Solanum lycopersicum: one gene and its partner. The protein of the gene in region 1 binds, or shares a complex with, the protein of each later gene. Links are inferred from orthologs where the notes say so. Each region holds a gene or a part of one and is shown on either strand. Other genes may lie near its edges. The genes, in order: kinetochore protein NDC80 homolog and kinetochore protein SPC24 homolog.

Evidence for each region.
Region 2: kinetochore protein NDC80 homolog (region 1) and kinetochore protein SPC24 homolog share a complex: the UniProt entries of both Arabidopsis thaliana proteins name them as parts of the NDC80 complex. The link is inferred for Solanum lycopersicum from reciprocal best matches to the Arabidopsis thaliana genes AT3G54630 and AT3G08880.

Annotation. Positions count from the first base shown.
Region 1 is NC_090800.1:89,050,128-89,059,955, forward strand, and holds kinetochore protein NDC80 homolog, read right to left. Parts: upstream 6,382-9,828; 5' UTR 6,259-6,381; coding exon 5,135-6,258; intron 3,924-5,134; coding exon 3,677-3,923; intron 3,019-3,676; coding exon 2,872-3,018; intron 2,733-2,871; coding exon 2,517-2,732; 3' UTR 2,355-2,516; downstream 1-2,354. Other genes in the region: uncharacterized protein, read left to right, coding at 215-298, 407-507, 946-1,030, 1,385-1,762; NDR1/HIN1-like protein 26, read left to right, coding at 8,787-9,383. UniProt on the Arabidopsis thaliana protein: Acts as a component of the essential kinetochore-associated NDC80 complex, which is required for chromosome segregation and spindle checkpoint activity to ensure proper cell division.
Region 2 is NC_090803.1:60,963,205-60,973,233, forward strand, and holds kinetochore protein SPC24 homolog, read right to left. Parts: upstream 6,588-10,029; 5' UTR 6,476-6,587; coding exon 6,298-6,475; intron 4,645-6,297; coding exon 4,502-4,644; intron 4,412-4,501; coding exon 4,311-4,411; intron 3,143-4,310; coding exon 3,069-3,142; intron 2,956-3,068; coding exon 2,849-2,955; 3' UTR 2,649-2,848; downstream 1-2,648. Other genes in the region: protein FRIGIDA-like, read left to right, coding at 1-795. UniProt on the Arabidopsis thaliana protein: Acts as a component of the essential kinetochore-associated NDC80 complex, which is required for chromosome segregation and spindle checkpoint activity to ensure proper cell division. Required for the maintenance of plant architecture.

The DNA of each region.
Region 1 (9,828 bases):
AATAGGTGGATGGGGTTTCTGGTGTATCGTATGCTTTCTTACAGTCCACACCAGCTATTCTACGAGTGCATTTTTTCTCATATAATCTACAACTATTTTCCCGTCCCTTCCTCCCCCCTCAAAAAGTTAGAAAGACCTCAAGAAAGAAACATTTGTTCTAATGATCATAAAACCGAAGCCTAGAGAAGTACTTTTGACATCAAAATAATGCCAGGCTGAGCAAAGGGCGCGCGAAGAAAGTGAGAAGTTAAGACAACAAGAGCGGGAGCAGCTTGATGAAAAGCTGAAAAGAGATCTGGTGTGTTTCAGTTTAACATTTTTCAGCAATTCTTGCAACGAACTTCTGTGATAAATCCTAATAAGTGATATGAGAAATGTAACTCCCAACTCTTGTCTCCGTGTTAAGACTCTTCGAGCACGTCTTGCTGCTAAAGCTGAGGAGAAGAGGCTGGAATTGCTGTTTCTTCGGTGGATTGAGCACCACAAAAAACTAGCCAATTTTATAAGGTATTTGCGTTAGCTACATCAGATATTAATTCCTGATGCAACCAGCAATGGAAGCTTGTTCTACATGACCTGCCTGTATGAAATGTATTCCATTTTTATTCAATGCCCTCGAGTTTTTGAGATCATTACAAGTTCATTCGAAATGTTTCGGGAGCAGCCTCTTTTATTCTACTGTCTGCGTCTGCACTATTCTAGATCTGTCTGCAGTGAACTTATCGTGTTAATTGAGTTCTATTTTGCAGGTTATTTCTTATTTCGGTCCAAATGTCCATATTCCAATTTTATTGACGCGAAGATAAGTTTCTGTTCATGTACAGAATGTTGAAGCTGTTAAATGACTGCAAAATCCCTCTTTGCAGCAGTGTAGGCTGATCAGTTATCTATCCTGGTAACAGTTCATAATTTCTCTTTATATTTTTTGGCTGTGTTAATTTCCAGGACCAAAGCCGAGCCCCCGATCTTTTATTCTTTTGCCAAACCATTGGAAGAAGATTCAACCTTACTTGAGCAGAGAAAAGATCAGGTAACTATCAAGCTGCACACATTTGATTGCGTTATATACGAATGAAATACTTCCAAATGGATAGAAAATTGAAAATCCACAATGCATGAGTTGTGAACAGAAATTATTTGTTTAGGTGGCAGAAAATTATGTTTATTTAACCCTGTAGCTTTGGTAGTGTGAGTTTCTATGGGAATGCACTTGTGTTTGTGGATAGGGGAGGGGGGAGTACTGAATGCAGTGGTGTGAATTCTATAGTTGACTGAGCATGTGAGACTTGAGTGTTAGAAAACACATCAAAGAGCCTCAGGACTTATTGATTATGTGGACATGTGTTATGCTGACAGACACTTGACTTTTATTTTTCCTCATCAGATATTCGAGGAATGGAAAGCTGCAAGGAGAGAGGAATTGTCGCAATACCAGAAAAAAATTGCTGAACAGAATATTGCAAAAGCTGAGGAGGAATGGAAAAATATTTTAGAAAGGAGAGCCAACAAAAATGTTTCAAACCTTCAAGAGACTATGGACAAAGAGCTAGAGACTCATAGGCTTGAGCGTGGACCCAAGACTCGAAAGATTCCTGGTGTCAGCAACAATGAAGATGAGGATGTTGAGGATATCAATGTTGTGGAGGATGATATGATGGATGATGTGCTAGAAGTGGATGAGAATAACCAGAGGAGTGATGAAAATGTGAAAGTTGATGCAGGCAATGGTGATCCACGGATTGATAACAATGATGAGCAGTAGATATGGATCTTTCATCTCCGTAAAGGTTTAGTCAGGAAATGGGCTTTTATAAGAAGTGGTGTTTTGTGTTTGGTTGGCTTTTGTGGCAGCTATATGTGTCATGCTGAGCTCCGCTATGAGGATTACTTTTATTTATGTTAAACCTTCCGATTTTGTTGTATCAGCTGAGTGTCTTATTCGTAGTATTTATCAGTAAGAAAAAGAAAGTTACTTCTCTCAAATACACACCTATATTTGAATGTTTTATTTGTACTCATGTGAAGATTAATTGGCCAAGGTTGAGATTCAGTATGAAGATGCACTACTTGTCAACCTGCTAAGCTTCTGAATGGACATAATTAAGGAAAATCTATAGCTGCAGTTTTCTCAGATTGAACTATATGCATAATAGAATTGCTTCAGTCAGGGTTGACACAACGTACTTTTAATGACATCATTATTCATGGAAAGTTTATGACATGCAATAAATTTAAATGCTACGTGTTCCGTGGTGTTGTCAGTTAAGTTTCTTGTGGTTCCATATCTGAATCTGGATTTTGTGCTACTATACAAGTGGGCAAAATAACAAATGTCAACTTCGTGACTAGCATGATCAGACGAGAACTTAATGAGATCTTCACAGCAACAGTCTAATCAATTGTTAAGACCATACCATGGAATACACACTTGTAGACCTTTGTAAGGGATGGTGTACCAACATAACCATATTTTAAGTAAAAACGAAGAAACATAATGTACTTAAGATCAGGAGGAATCAGTGGTTTGCGTCAGAGACAGGCAAACCAGCTTTATGCAGATCTGCTATAGTCCCGGCAGCTTCTGCGAGATCATTCTTCATCATGCCAACTTTTGATGTAATATACTCTTTATATTTTGAAACTGAATCAACAACAGCAAAGAGTTCATGGGCACACAGCTGCACTTCTTCCTCAGTTTGTGCGATTGTTTCCTGTAATTTGGCCTTGGACGCCTTTGAAAGTGAAAAAGATGCCAATTAAAATGAAGATTATACATCTAAGACGAGAAACCACACAAGTCAACATTTGTCGGAAGACATTTAGAAGCCATGCATTACAGTATAAATCTTGTCTAAATTGCAAATGCCTTACCTTCAGGAAGTCCGCCGCCTCTCTTTCAACCTGATCCAACTTCTGCGTTTCTGCTTCAACTTCTTCAACTATCCTTCCGGCTTCTATTGCACAGCTAGATGTGAAGTCCAGTCTTTCCTTCTTTACCAAGTCCAACTGAGCCTCCAACTATCATTAATCATAAAAGGAAACAAATAGCCATATTAGGCTGAAGGCACCGTTATACGTCCCCAAAGGACTAATAGAAGATATATTTTAAGCTGATAGACCTTATGCCATTAGAATTTGTGAATAATGGTAACATCGCTTTATCTAATTTTCAAATTCAATGCTGAAAGGCCAAAACATTTAAGCAGTGACACGCATGCAGCGCATGCACGCAAGAAGAAAAAGAAACACAAATATACCATGGCCAAAGAGAAGCTGTTCAGTGGCGCTAATATAAATGATCAACTACTAATTCACTTCATAAAAAGAAGAGACTCAAAACTCAGCTCATTGAGGCATGATAAATCATTACATTCTAAAATTTGGATCATAAACAATTTTACAAGTATCAATTATTACCCAAAACATTCTTTTGTACATATTTTAAAACAGTTAAGTGGGAAATTTTTTATGCATTTTTGATTTCCAAATAGTGCAGGTACCTCTGACTCTGAGAGCATCTCCACTAGAAGATAGAATGCCACTTATTATGTCATCAGATTCACTTCCGATAAAATGTTATATATTATACAAAATTAAATATCGTGTGTGTGTGTGAGAGAGAGAGAGAGGACCAGTGTCCAATTCTATAGTGGGAAAGGATGCTGGCTAAACTTACATCATCAATGTGAGCCTGAAGAGTAGCCAGACGATTCCTCTTTGACTCTAATTTCATAGCCTTCTCAGATGACTGTTGCTGGAGATATATCAACTCTTCCATTTTCCCCATGGAACTCTTTTTCATCTCATCTTCAAAGGATGCAAGAGTGGGCTTTAATGTTTTTTTGTAATTTATACCTAATACCTCTGCTGGTGAGGACCCTTGGGGATTCAATTGATACTGAAATTCATTTCCAAGCTTTAACCTGAAATTTCAAATGAGGCTGTTTGTTGTCAGAGTAATTAAGGAAATGATGACGAGCAACAAGTAGAAGGAAAGTTCCACCGCAAACCACAGAAAACATACAAAAATATACTTGCTCCATCTCACTTTGACTGATCTAGTTTCAAACTTACAATCTTAACCCCTCCCAAGTTATGATCTAAATCATCAAATTGTAGAAAATTTGCTCCAACAGTTCAATCTGATAAGCTATGGAAAAGAAAAGAACTTTTCAAGCAGCAACAAGAAGGCACAGAAATCTGAGAAATGATTGTTGCATAGAGACACTCCCACAAAATCTTTTTTCCCGAGTGGCATTTGGGTGTTTTCGTCCATGCTTTGGCCAAATTCAAAAAGTGTATCATCAATTGCCGCATAATCCAACAATAAAAACATGAATATAGAATAAAAAATATTCTTCATGAAGGACCGTCATATAGCTGGAAATACAGAACTCAATTCCAACATAGCACCCAGTCAGGCAAGATACATCTAATTAATGCAGAGACTACAACATTGAAGGATCAATTGTTCTTTAAAAAATGGAGGCATGCTGCAGCCTTAGTTTCTAACCGGAGTGATTGGAAAAACTAAATTCAAGAATCTATAACTAAAAGGTATGATGAGAATCTTAGCATTATTGCCTTGTGACTAGTATAGTGTTCCTCATTCATATCTCAAGTCAAAGTTTAGAGGAGCAGCACTACAACAATGGGCTAAATTGTGATTCTCATATATCACCGTAGCTAACAATTCACTACCCATTAGAGAAAGAAAGGCATGTTTTTGGAAGTTAGTGAATCAATTAAACTCTGAGAAGCACAGATATAAAGTCAGTTTACATATAACTTTCAGCAAATTGCATTCCCATTAATCTGTCACCTAAATTATCTGCCGAGAACCCATTATAGAAGCAATCTAACAGTATCATGTTGTAACGGCCATTTAAACTTAAGTGAATGTTGATAGAAACAATCAATTGAGGGAAAACAATATAATGTCCTTCCAATCTTATCTTAGTAGCCATATTCTTATAGCTTTAGTCCAACTAAAATAGCACAGCAATGCAATATATCCATGTTCATAGAACAACAAACACTTATATTACGAAAAATATTGAATCTCATGCTGTTAAATGGAAAGTAAGATACTCTTATTTCAAACAACATAAATAACAGGAGAGGGAATGACAACCTCCTGATAGATTGGTTGCACTCAATCATTAGCTCCTCAAGCTTCTTGTACATGTTCCCAATCGCAGAGTCGAGGTCCCAAGCCTTCTCCTCCCATTCAATCCTCTGGTTCTCAATATCCCCAATATCCCTTTCCAAAGCATGCAACTCCCTCTTCATCCTATCTGCATCCCTGGAATTAATCCCTTGTTCCTCCACCCTCTTCTTCAACTCCTCATTCTCTGCACAAATGCTCTCTTTCTCTGTAACCTTAGTCTCTAACCCTTTTTCTTTCTCTTCCACCATCTTATCCATTTTCACTATATGCCCTTCTAACTGTTCAATGATAGCCTGAAACTTCTTTACATCTTCCTCCAACGCACTCTTCTCCTTCTCCAACGTCTCTCTTTCCGATGGTCCTGTCTTCATTTCTTCCAACTTTTCCTCTTGAGCCTTCACATTCTCCTCCAAGACATTCACATCCTCAACCAACCGCTCCTTATGTTGTTCCAACTCTTGCATAAATTGGCGATCCAATTCATCTACTTGATCATCTTTCCCCCTAAAGTAATGCAAATAACTCTCTACAGTATATCTCAATTCCTTATTACTCGGAGCTAGTGGTTGAGCCGAACTCATCCGGTAATCATCAAATTTACATAGCTGAACAAGCCAGTGAATTGCTGCAAGTAGACTAGGCCAGGAATGAGGCGTCCCAGGGGCGCGTAATGCAGATTTGTTCAATTTCACGGGGCAATTTAGGGATTTCAGTAGGGTTTGGAGATCATCTTCGAGTTTATGCGACTCTGCTAAGGAAAATCCGAAACGAGAGAGAATGAATTTTAGGGTTTCGGTGATATCTTTTGCAGAAGGGAGAGGATGTTTGAGAGTAAAAGGGAGAGAGTGGGAGGAAAGGTAAGCATTGATTGTACGCAGAGCAGAGAGTTGATAGGAGCGGTCAGAGATGGGGATAGCGGAGGACCGAGTGTTTACACCGGCAGATGAAGGCCGGCTACTGGCGAAGCTTGCGTCGGAATCACGCCCGCCAGTGGAGATAAATTGCCTTGGGTCGTTTATCGGAGTCGGTGGTGGATGACGGCGATCCGGCACTGCAGAATTGGTACGACGGCGTCCGGCGCCTCTCATTGTTGAGTAAACTGCTGCTTGATCTCGGTGGCTAGTGAAAGGTACTTGTGTTTCTGCTTTGAAATTGGAAAATGAGTAATGGCGGCATTTCAATTAGAATTTCGGTTTAATTGTTTTTTAATTATGCTGTTTATAAATTTGGCCAAATAGACGTATCATGTTGGATTTTCACCCCTCATATATCTCAACTACGTTATTTTCCTATTAAATAATTAAAATTTTCATATCTGATGTGAAATCAGATTTTTAAAGGATATTAATAAAGGATACATACGTTGTTTCACAATTCATTAGTTCAATTAATAATGAAAATATTCGAGAACAATTGTATTTTATTTAGGTCATTTGAATACATTAGAAAATAAATGAGACAAACACGATTTTATCTTTATTTCTTCAATCAAAATTATTACAATTCGAACACAATTGAAAACATTTACAATTAAAAAGCCGATCAAAATCAACTAACAATATTCTAAAAGAACAAATTATGAATGATTCAATAATTTAATAAAAAAATGATATAGTTAAGATATCTAAGGAAAAAAACTCACCAAATTTAAAAATCTATTTACGTAGGCCTATAAATTTCAATCCTTTAAATTTGTCAACTAAACATTGATTTTCGTCAAAGTTGAAGGAGTAGTTTATTTACCTAAAAAGGTATTGCATGTTACCTTTTGCTTAATTTAATTTAAATGATACTTGTCTGATTTATAAAATTAATCAATAATTTATTCTTTTGTATTTATTTTGTTCTTATTATTAAATATTACTTTTATTTTTTTAATATTTTGAACTCCCTTCATTTCAAATTAATTGAATTGTTAAAACATTTTCTTATTTTACAATTAACTTAATTGTTTAATTTTCAAAACTATTATTATAATGTTCTTCCAATTTTACCTTTCATTAGTTAATATTGAAATTAATTATTAATTAATATTTAATTATTTTAATTATAAATTTAATAATAATTAATAAGAGTAAAAATAAAAAATTATGCTTAATTTATATTAAAAAAAAATCTTAAATGTATGAAATATCTCATCAATTTAATTAATTGAAATGGAAGAAATATTATTAAAATAATTTGATAAAATTTCATCAATTATTTATTACTTTTAAATATTTGTCTGAAGACTATGATAAATAATTATCGTTTAACAGAGGGAGGTAGAAGGGTCATGTTGGCAAAGAAAAAAAAGTTTACCTAAAATTTCCTCCTTCTATTCCATTTTAATAAATCAATTAAACTTATATTATTTATAACACTTCGTATTCTCTCTATATATAAATAAATATATATATCATGATGTGCCACTTTATCATCTAATAGATCTCTCCCTTTCCAATAACGTGATTAACTTTTCATTAATAAAGCTTCTCTTAATTAATCACAATAGAAAAGATTTCAGTATTAGTTAAACGTCTATTTACTTTTACAATAATAAACACTTTTAATTAGTTTCATTATTATTAGTATAAAAGATATTTTAGAATTAACTAGTAATTTAAACTAGACATGAAATAAGCTGGGTAAATGTTCAAATTTGAGATTCTACGCTATTTAAACAAAATTAAAAAAAAAAAAGGAGTTAAAATGGTCGTCTATAGAGTTTTGTGTGATAAGTAGATATATATCACCAAAAATTTTAAAATTAATTACAAAATGATAGTTATATTAGAGAACGATTTTGATGTAAAAAGCAAAATACTAGTTAGTCAAAAACTCGCATGTTGAAAGATGGAGTGACGAAAATAAAAATATGAAAACGAATATGTAAGTATACTAAAAGACATAAATATAAAATAAAAATATTTAAAATAACGTGAAAATAATCTTATTTTCTATCAAACCGTCATGAACAATGTAATATTAAATAAAATTCTAGTAACAGTCAAGTTATTTTTAATACAAATATTAATAACTCATTTATAATTGAAACTAATCATATAAAAATAACTACTACAATATATCTTAATATAAATATTAATAACTTTTTTCATCATTCAAATCAATGTTTTCTAATCATTATTTCTCCTTTTTTTTAACAACTATAATATTCATATCAATCTTCATCCACCTCAAATAATTTCATAAAATAATATTACCTTCCACTGACAATAACTATCATATTAGGGTAATTAACCATGTCCATTAAAATTAGAATAAATAGAAATAAATCTAACCCTATAATTTCTTTTCAAATTTCCAAATAAATAAAAGATTTAATAAGTAATACAATTAGTAAAGAACAAAGGGGAAAGAGAAAGAAAGAACCAAAAACAATAATGGCAAGAATGCAAAGTCAAAAAATTACCCCACTTTGATGCCACCTTTTTTCAATTCCAAGCAAACACACACACACACACTATTGTCCCTCCCTCCATCTTCACTCTCTCCTAAAGCAAAGCAAAGTTGAAAAAGGGATTAGAGAGAAGAGAGTGGTGGGTCTTAATACAGTACAAATTATTCCTTCAATCTTATTCTAATTCTTTCTTCATCTTCAACAACAAAAAACAATATGACCTCAAGATTAACTCAAAATGGTATTAATGGCACCCACCATCATCCTCAATATTACCCTCATCCTACTTCTTCTTCATCATCTAAAGCTTCATTTAAAGGTTGTTGTTGTTGCCTATTTCTACTCTTTTCCTTCTTACTTCTCCTCATTCTAGCTGTTATACTTGTTATTGTACTTGCCGTCAAGCCTAAAAAACCCCAGTTCGATCTTCAGCAAGTGGGTGTTCAATACGTCGGAATTACACCTAATCCAGCTGCGATTGCAACTTCCTCCGCCTCTGTTTCACTCAATATTCGTATGGTTTTCACTGCTTTCAATGATAATAAAGTAGGGATCAAGTACGGTGAGTCCCGGTTCACGATCATGTACCGTGGGATTCCTCTGGGTCGGGGCTCCGTACCCGCGTTCTACCAGCCAGCTCATAGTGTTAAGCGGGTTGAAACTACCATCGTTGTGGATCGGGTTAACTTGCTCCAAGCTGACGCAGCAGATTTGATTCGTGACGCCGCCTTGAATGACCGGGTCGAGTTACGGGTATTGGGTGATGTCGGAGCTAAGATTCGAATCCTTGGTTTTACTTCACCTGGTGTAGAGGTTAGTATTATCCATTCTACTTTATTTGTATTTGGTTTTGTGAATCGGTTGGAACGGGAGTTTTGTATGTATTAAATTGCTATAATAATTTAGTTACTTAATAAATAAATCTTTTTACTATGAATATATAAATGACATGACCTTATGGAAGAAAAAAAAGGGCTAGAAAACATTTTGTATAAATTGGAGGGATAATTAATTAGCGGTGGATGATTTGCTCTAAGCTTTTGTCCGGATAGTAATACAAACAAATAATGGTGATAGATAGAGGGACCCATTTTTGCCTGTCATGTCCAAGTTATTAGGTCATTATTGTCTACACAAACTGCCATTTTTTATGTTTTTGTTTCTTCATTTTCTCACCTAGTAGAAAACTGATTTGAAATTTTGCTCAGCTTATTCAGTGTAATCATATAATTATAATATGAGAAGAGTAGAATATACG
Region 2 (10,029 bases), on another chromosome or scaffold:
GTTGCCGAATTGACTAGGCATATAGGTGATCAAAAGATTACACAAAAGAGAAAACTTGGTGAGACTGAGTCCTCTGGTAGTTTCAGCAACAAAGAAATGAAACCCTCGCTTTTTCCAAATCCAAATCCATGGCCTCCACAACAACATAGAGTTGTTAATCATGTTGATGACAGCAACAGCACCTTGTTAGAACGCAGTGGAACTGCCAGCCAAATTTATGGTTATTCTCTGGCCCCGTCGGTATTGCATCAAACTGTTGCAGGCTCAATACATCAAAATGCTGTTGGCTCACTGGCAGGACCTGTGGGAGGTGTTGTGGCCATGGATGGAGCTGGAGCAGGTAATTTAGTGAAAGGAGGTTCATGTGTTGGAGTTCATGGAGGGACTCTAGTTGATCATACACCTAGTCAAATAGGAAGTCATACTGGTCAGTTATATGGACCCCCTGGTGATGCACACACCTATGCTTATAGGTCGCCATCCTACTTTGAAGCATCGGGCTCTATGGGGTTGCCAAACACCATGCCTGGTGATGCTTATAGGCCTCCACCATATTTGGAAGGCTCTATGGGGTTGCCAAACAACATACCGGGTGATGCTTATAGGCCAAACCAATACATGAAATGCTCCAACGGCTTGCAAAAAAACATATCTGGTGATGCTAATCAGCCTCCACCATACATGGAAGGCTCTGCACGGTTGCCAAACACCATACCTGCACCATATCAGTTTGCTGATTCTGTTCCATCTGCTGCCCTTGCTCATCCTTCACCCTCCTTGTACTGGAAGAGATAGTTTTGCATTGGGCAGGCATTATTTCTAACGTAGTTTCCCTTTTGTAGTATACCCAATCTAGAATTGATCTCGCACGCATGGTCTTGGAGAAGGTTGTAGTTCATTAGCTACTATAAAGCTCTGGTGAATGTTCGGCCTAGCATAGTGATGTCTAAATTCTACCTGGAAAACTTTCATTTGTTTGGAAAGATTTCAAAAATTACAATAATTTTTTAAAGAGGTAAAAGAGATAAATAACTTATCGACTTCCCTTTGGTTTCTCCTCCCTTCCAACAAACATGATCTTCTAACAATCTTGTTTTCCCTTTTCCTCATCCAGTCCAGCAGGTCACAATGGTTCCTTGGAAAACCCAAGGTCGTAGGTTCAATTCCTCAAACACGCATCTTCCTTTTTTCCTAGTGTGACATTCTTGTAAATTTTCGCCTGAGATGAGATTAAATGAAGAAACAAGAATCGTGAGGATACATATGATGTTTGTTGTTTTGATGGTCTGTTCAATTGTTGACTGTGGGCATGTGCACTTGTATATGTTGTTTGTCTCTCTCTCCATTCTTACGAGTAAGTGTTGGACCTGCATCTTTTTATTTGCTCCGTTGATGTTATGAAATGATATAGTTCTTGCATTTAGCTTAAATGTGTCAAAATTTTAGATTTTAGTCTACCCAAGGTTGTAGTTTATTGCTTGGTGTGAATTGTTTGATCTTTGGCCATCAGCCTTTGAGTCTGACATGATTTGCATATCTATTGTCTAGAAGATATATTCTGAAGTTGACCTTCGACTTATGAATCAATCCTTTTGATTTGGGATTTGGGGGATCAATTTTAATGTTTGTTTCTATGTTGCTTAGGTAGGTGGTCGAATGTGTTATGTTTCAATTGCTGTGATGTAGAACAGCTGAAGGTGGTTGAGTATGTTATATTCAATTTCTTTTATTCCTAACTTCGCATTTTAGTTTATGGGCTTGCAGATATGCATCATATGGAAACCACATTTACTTGATTTGTTTTATTTCTGTGTTGAAGTTTGACTTCATTTAAGTGTCACCAAATGTCTGTTTTTATATGCAGTTCAGCTGTTACAATATTTTTGTTGCTCCTGAAGTCAAATTTTTTGCTTGTTCATAAATGCACCTTTACATTTCCTTCTGGTTACAGGGGGAGTCTCTGCCTTTGTGAGCTTGCTCACATTGTAGGTCCTAAGTAGACAACCAACAGTCATTATAATACAAGATAAGATGGGCTAAGATGCATTGACACAGACGGTGAGAATTTACTCAAACAGATCTCAACTTGCTCAGATTGAAGTTTAGTTGTTTTTTTTTGTTACGGGGGGAGAGATTGATGGGCAAACCTTGGCCTGAACACTGATTGTGAGAATTTGCATCTGTTTCCACTGTTTTTTACACAGCATTTGTGACTTTTGGCTTGAATGAGATGTATAAGAGAGACAACAGATCAACTATTATGTATGAATTGAAATTGGGATATCAGCAATGCCCCAGATATAGTCATATGAGAATTTGTAGCATATTTCTTTCTTGTAACATTTATGTAAAATCTTACAGCTTCCTATTGATCTCCACAATGCATTTTGTACTTTTACAATTGCTTGAATGGCCATATGAGGTATAAAATCTTCATAATGTTTAACGTGCTAGCTCGACTCTCTTATCATACTGTTGCTGTATTTAGTGTGGTGAAATATGTGAGCAATTCTTTCAATGTAATGGAATGATGATGGAATATTGAGAAAAGCTTGCGCAGTTACATATCAATGTTGCAAATTGGATTTTGCTACCTAGCAAATGTTATTAGTTGATTTTCTCCAATTTATAACTTTACAGACTGAGACTTGTGAAAGCATTAGAAATGATTTGGATTCTGAAACAACAAATATCATGTACAAAATACAAGATTATACTTCAAATGAAACACACTATAATGCAAAATGGCAATGATATCTAGTATGATTAGATTAAAAATCTGATCAGCAAAGGCAATAAGGTACTCTTAACAATGCAAGTCATAACTAAGCCTGAGCAATGCTGCTTCTTACAAATTAATCATCTTCCAGATGTTGTTACAAGTGTCAAAGGCAGTTTGATTTGATGAATCAAACTCGAAATTTTCAACCACCTTCTTATCTCTCTCCACAATATCTAGAATAGGTCAAGGTGAACTAAATTGCTGCACAATCTCGAAAAAACAGACACAAGGTGAATTTAGAAAAGGATAAGAAATGTTAGCTTAGCAAACAAAGTAATTAGGATACGGCCTGATATTTTGGATTGATCATCCAAGTCCGGGATGATACTTGTGACAGAAGCATACAGTGATAGCTTCATCCTACAAAATAAGATGAGAAAATTGCTCAAAATTAAACAATATACGTGAAACAGCCCTTAAAGAAGATGCATTACAAACAATAGTAGCTAGAGAGAGACAAGGAAAGATCACACTAAATATTAACACAAATTACCAAACATCAATCGCACACTGGGAATAAAACTTTCATACTAAGCATTTTAAAGAGAAAGAAAGAGGAAAAGGAACTTTCTGGATAAAAACACTGGTATCCCTGCAACAGGATATTCTGCGAGCGGCTGTGTGTCTACAGAGTGTAAGCTTCTAAAGAAAAAAAGTAAAACGTCTAATAAATTTCAATCCTCGCATGATGTTCATGTAAAACTGCAGCAGAGGTAAACCTTAAAAAATTACTACTCCTTCAGTTCCAAAATTAGGTGATATAGTTTGAATAGTCATAGAGTTTAAAAGAGAAATCAAGACTTCCTAAACTTGTGGTCTTAAACATGTCATAACATTTGTGTCTATAGAACTTTTGAAACTTGTGGTCTTAAAAATGCCATAAAATCTGGATGGTCATAAAAGCTTTTCATTAAGGGTCAAATGGGAAGTGTAAAGTTAATTGTTTACAAATTTAGAAATGTGTTATTCTTTTCGGAACGGGCTAAAAAGAAAAGTGTATCCCATAAAGTGGGAAGGAGGGGTATGTTTGGTTGCGTCCAGACAAAGTCAAATCAGGTGTATATTCAATTTGTAGAAATACTTAGTTGGGCGATAGTTACACCTAGACATCCAAAGATGTAATGTGGTAGAACTTGGTCGCACCAGATGGGATGTTAATGGACTATCTTAACAGTGATTGGCATATGGCAGATACATTCAAATATGTGTACCATGTTGCAATATGGAACTGAGTAGGCAAATTATCCACAGAATATGATGAAAACATGTCAGACCCTCCCAACCTCTTGAGATACTTTGACAGCATAAAGTTGCAAAAGCTTAACGAGTCAACATATCAATATCTTTTTCTTTTTTGATGACCGAGAAACCTCAAGGGCCAGCAGGCACGGTTTGAACTTAGAGGATGAGGAGGAGTCAACAAATGCCACGATGGGATTGTTTCAACGAAATTTGTAGAAGTATGTTGGAAGCAAATGCCTGACATAATCATAAACATATTAAAGTACAAGAGGTTATGATTACTTACTCAGCTCGAAGATGATCTTGCTCAATTTTCTTGAGCAATTTCCTGTGCTCCTCAATAGAGTCTCTTTGGCGATCTAAATCATTGATCTCATCGGTTATAACTGTGTTTAAAAAAGGTGTCAATCAGTAAGCATAACACTAAATTATCTGAGAAATACAAATTCATGCATCTAACGTTGTTTAATATACTTATCTAAGTTCTTCTCTAAGCAGTTGTTCTCTCTGGATCTCCTGTTCTAACTCTTTCTGCAGCTTATCTATTTCAGCCTCTGCAGCAGCTTCAGATTGTGCTTCTGTTGTTCTCTGCTTACATGCATTTATCTTTCCTTGATAATCTGAGTGTATGCAATGACTTGAAATTAGTCATTTAATACTTTCAAATTCACAAATCCGAACATCTCCCAGTACAATCATAAATTAATGCTTGAACAAAGACACTTAATACCAACATAATTCCAATTTCCAACTTATTTAATAAGAAAAACAACATGTATGTCTGAGGCCAGAGAGAAATCATAGGAGCAGGGTTGGGCCCTCGAAAGGAACCAAAGTAGTGGTCTGTTGAGCTAATCATTAAACTAGACACACGTACTGGGCCTCTACATATTTTTGCATTATAATTGGCTAAAAGGACTTCAACTCGGAAACAAACTGCACCAAAAGTAGAAATATCACCAAAACTATCAGGAATAAGTAGGTAATAGCACCAATTTTTACACTATATATAGTACATTCCAAAAAAATCTCATGAGGGTTGGCGTGAGAGGATCCAGATTCCAGCAGTAGTACTCATGAAGGTATAAAAGACAGAGACAGAGACTCCACACTCCCCAAAATGTTACTAATAAAAGAAACATCCAGAAATGACGATATTTTGCAAGAAGAAATTTTGACCTGACACTCCAGTAAGCTAGCAAACAGAAAATGGTGTTTCAGGTCAACGTTAAGAGACTTATCCACTAATAATTGGTACTAAGAAAAAGAATCATCCAGATGCAAGAACATTGTAAAGTTTGTCTACATTGATTCAAAATTCCAATCTTACGCCGAGTTTTTTTTTCACTACATAGTTTTTAAGGATCCAGGAAGATCCTATTGCGTCGTGGTGACCCTGAGGTTTGAACTATGCACTGTGGTTCAACTTACAGCCTCAAGGCAGATGTCCCTTGGGTTCAATCTTTAAACTAATTAAACTAATAAGAAGTTGATTCAACCCCCATTTTTCTCTTTCATTAAAGGAATGTTACTGAATGAAACATCCAAAAAAGATATCACTAAAAAGCAAGGTTTCAAGTGTAAAGAAGTATCTATAAAGCAGAAGTGCTACGAGGAGTAAAGAAACTGCATTAAACAGCAAAGCACATTGTAAACTCAGTCTATATCAGATTAAAAGTTGCAATCTTTAAGCCAATGTTTTTTCTCTCTCACATTGTTCATAGGAAGTAGGGAAGGTCCAGTCAGGCACTACTAAGCTAGTATGAGTGACACCACCGAGATCTGCAGCTTAAATTGTAACCTCCTGACCAGTAGGTTGTCTCTTGGGATAATCCATTAGCTAAGGGAGCATTTGGCCATAAAATTCAACTTGCATTTTCAAGAATTTGAAAAACACCAAAAACTTTCTTCACTCCAAATCAATCATAAAAATTCAGAAACAACCCAGAATTTGTATTCATGGCCAAACCCAACTCCAATTTTCAAATACTCACAATTTTCATGGCCAAATGCTTCAAGTAAACACAGAAAGAGGTTCACTTAGTAACCATCCTACCATTTCCAAAACAAAAATATCAAAATTCAACAGTAAGAACATTATACACACAATTCCAAAGGTTCAATCTTGAAGCTAACTTATTCTTTATCACATAGTCTTATGACTCTGAGGATTGGGGAGATCTCCAACTGAGAAAGATTCAAACTTTAAGCCACTAAGAAATTCAACAAACCCTCAATTTTACAAAATTAAAAACGAAATACAAGAACCCCACCTTGAATGGAATTCTGAAGAGCCTGGTACTCAGATTGGCAGTGTGATTGAAGGGCATTAAATTGCTCTTTACACTGATTCAAGAAGCTGACATCTTTATCTTCTTTCAAAAACTGAACAAGATCCTTACTGAAGGAGATCAGCTTCTCTACATCCACGTTATTCGACCCATCCACCATTTTCGACCTCTCCAGACCAAAGTTTAGGGCTTTTTTCTCCCTCCGAATGTAGTAATTTGAAAAGAAGAATGATTAGCGGAGTTCACAGAAAAATAGAACTCCTCCCTCCCGTTAAATTATACTATGTACTTTGTTACGTTTATTATTTTATTAAATTATTTTAAAAAATAATTTGATAAATAATATTATCATATTTAATTTGACTAATTTTTAAAATGAAATGAAATTATATTGATTTAATAATTAAATAAATATTAAAAGTATTATAAATTGCAATATCTTACCTATCTGATGAAAAATCAGTGAAATGTGAGTTAAACATACATCTTCGTTACATTTTTAAGTCGAATTAACCTTTTAGCATAAATTTATGTTTGATTTTGATAATTTAAGTATATTTTTATTAAAATATTTTACTATACTAGATAATTGAAGGCCCGTTCACGTGCTTAATATAATTAATTATCTTTTCAATTTTAATTTAAAATTTTTATCTAAATTCATATCTTATTTTATTATATTTTTTAAAATTTTCTACCATTTAAAAAAATTACAAAAATTCTCTCAGCTACGTTCTTATCCTCTGTGTACATCAATATCTCCTCTCGGATACATCTATATTCTCTCTCGGCATCTTCATCCCCTCTTTAATATATCTCTATCCTCTCTTGGATACATCTCTCTCCTTTCAGATACACCTATATTCCCTCTCGAATACATTTCTTCTCTCTCTGATTCATCCACGAGATATGTTTCTGCAAGTTTTCTGAATAATATCGCGACCGATGTTTTTGCATTTCTGTTGATGAATATATGAACTTTTTGTAATTTAAAAAAGAGTGGAGATACAATGTAATTAACTTTTAACACTATGAAAATTTATGTGGTATATTTTTCTGTGCAGTCAATTTCAAAAGAATAACGTATCAATATATTTAATAACATTTTGACTTCAAAAATATTCATTTTATTCTTAGTAAGATGATTTAAAATCATATGAACATCTATGGCTAGTTTTAAACTACAACAAAAAGTGTTTTTTTTTAAAAAAAAGAAAATACTTCATGTTAAAGTCAAATAAACATTACATAAATCAAAATGAACTAACTGACTACAAACTTTAGATCAATTTTATATTTATGAAATTTAAGTTTTTGTAACTATTTTGCCTTTTAACAAAATTTAAAATGAAAATACTAAAGTTTTTTTCACAATTATTTTTATAGTAATTTTTTTTAACAATATTTTGTCGATAATATCAAAATTGTAATAAAACAAGATAATAAAATAACTTAACTTTTTTGAAATTCAAGTATTGATATCAATTGAGAAAACATTTATTTTAAAGTTATAAAGCATTTATAATCTAATATTTGATGCGCTCCTTGCCCTCGACGAATGACACTATCTTATCATAAGAAGTAAAATCAAAATTAAAAAGTGCAGCTCACTATTATATGAAAGTCATTATGAGTTAATTGCCACTCGTTAGAATATGTCATATGTTAATTGTCATAATGAAACAACATGAAAATTATAAGAGATAATTTATTTATAGTTGAAAATTATTTATAAAAAATGAATCACAAATTATATATCAAAATATGTTTATGTCATATACATATTAATGCAAAGAAATTTCATACTATAAATTAATTTACTTATTTTAATATGTAATTTATTTTATTATGAAAATTTACAAATTTGATGTTTTATGAATTGGTATGAAGATTTTTATATGTCTTCATGGAAAGTAGTTCTTTATTTTATAATATAGAGGAATATTACTTAAAATAAGTTATCACGTCAATTAACCATATTAGTTGTAATATATTAATATAATTTTTTTAGAAGAAAATCACGTAAATCAATTTTCTAGGTCTTGACAAATCAGTAATTTTGAATTACCTTTAGATTTATAAAAATCATTAGTATGTTGTAAAAACAAAAATTTATCCTACATTTGGTTAATAGATATTTTTGATTTAATGAAAATTTTATTACTATATAAAAAATAAATCTATAAGAAGTGTAACATTTCATTAAAATAGACTAATTATTAGTCTATATTCGAAAAAATTTAAGAAAAAGTGTAATTGAAAATGTGTGTTCATATTAGATGTCACGTCATTAAGATAAATATGACATTTAGAAAAACATATTTGATTGGTTGGTCATTACAAATCTATTATCACTTTTTTGATATCATAATACAGAAACCAACATTCTAGAATTTTTATAAATTGATAAATTTATCCTTAGTCGTCCTCAACTTAGCTCTTCTATATAATAGAAAAGAAACTGATATATTTTTAAATGAAATGTATCTCTCTCTCATTATATTGAAGCATGACTGACAAATTTGTTTACAAATTAAAAATTTACATAGTCTCGTAATTAGACTTTCTGTTATAAATTATAATCGTAAATATAAATTTATTGGATGCTAATTAATATTTTTATCTAAAAATTATATTAAAATTTAATAAGAAAAATATATTTAGTCCGAAAATATAATACTAACAGGTCGTACATTCTCTCCGTTAGGGCTTTGATTTTTTAATTTTTTTTTCTATTGTCAATTTTTCTCACTCTCCACTACTACAGTGAATACTATGGATAAACCGGCGATTTACAGCGACGGCGACGGGGCTACACCATCATTGACCGATCAATTGTTCGGAGCAGAACAGAAAGATGAAACAGGAAACTCTTCCCGGCAGCAGAAACAGTCGGAATTGCAACAATCTCCAACATATTCTTAGGAATTGATCAATGCCAATTTCTGCAAAATCTCCGACGGTCTCTCGGCATTCCAACGATGCTTTACACCAACATGAAATTAAGTCCTTTTGTGCTACACAATTATGGTAAAACTCTCACAACATCCTGCAGCAATATATCATAGTTGAGATCGAATCAGACAGAAGATTCACCCCTCACCCTGACGTTCGGGTATGGGGAGTTGAGAAGAAGGTGATTGAAGTCTTCCTTTTATCCGGATTAACTCTATTCTGACGCTAATTGTGATTTTGACTCTGCTGTGATACATTCCTCTATTGGATGGATGTGACTTGTGACTTTGCTACGTCCATTCTTCAATTTTGTTGGCTTGACTTTATACCATAAGATACTGAGAATAAACTTTTTATGAGATTAATTAAAACCTACTTAAGGATGAATGATTATAATTAGAGCTCATTTGGGTTTTGTTGTTCATCTTATACTTCTAAGATACTTAGAACAAAATTTTGAAAAATTTGGTAACAAACAACAATGTTTAAAGAGTAATAGAAAATTAAGACTAACAGAGCAAATAGAATGAGAAACTGATTAGGAACAATATAAAAATCTTTTTCTCAAAGAAAGAAAATCGAGTTCACTGAATGCACAATGTCCCCTTAAAGAAATTATTCCCCTCAAGTATTCGAGGTTAACGGAATATATTCTCCAAGGATAGATAGAACAATCTTACTCACCGGTGTATCGATATCTAAAATCACTATGTCAGCGAACCACGCAACGTCAATAAAGTACACTTTGAATACTAGATT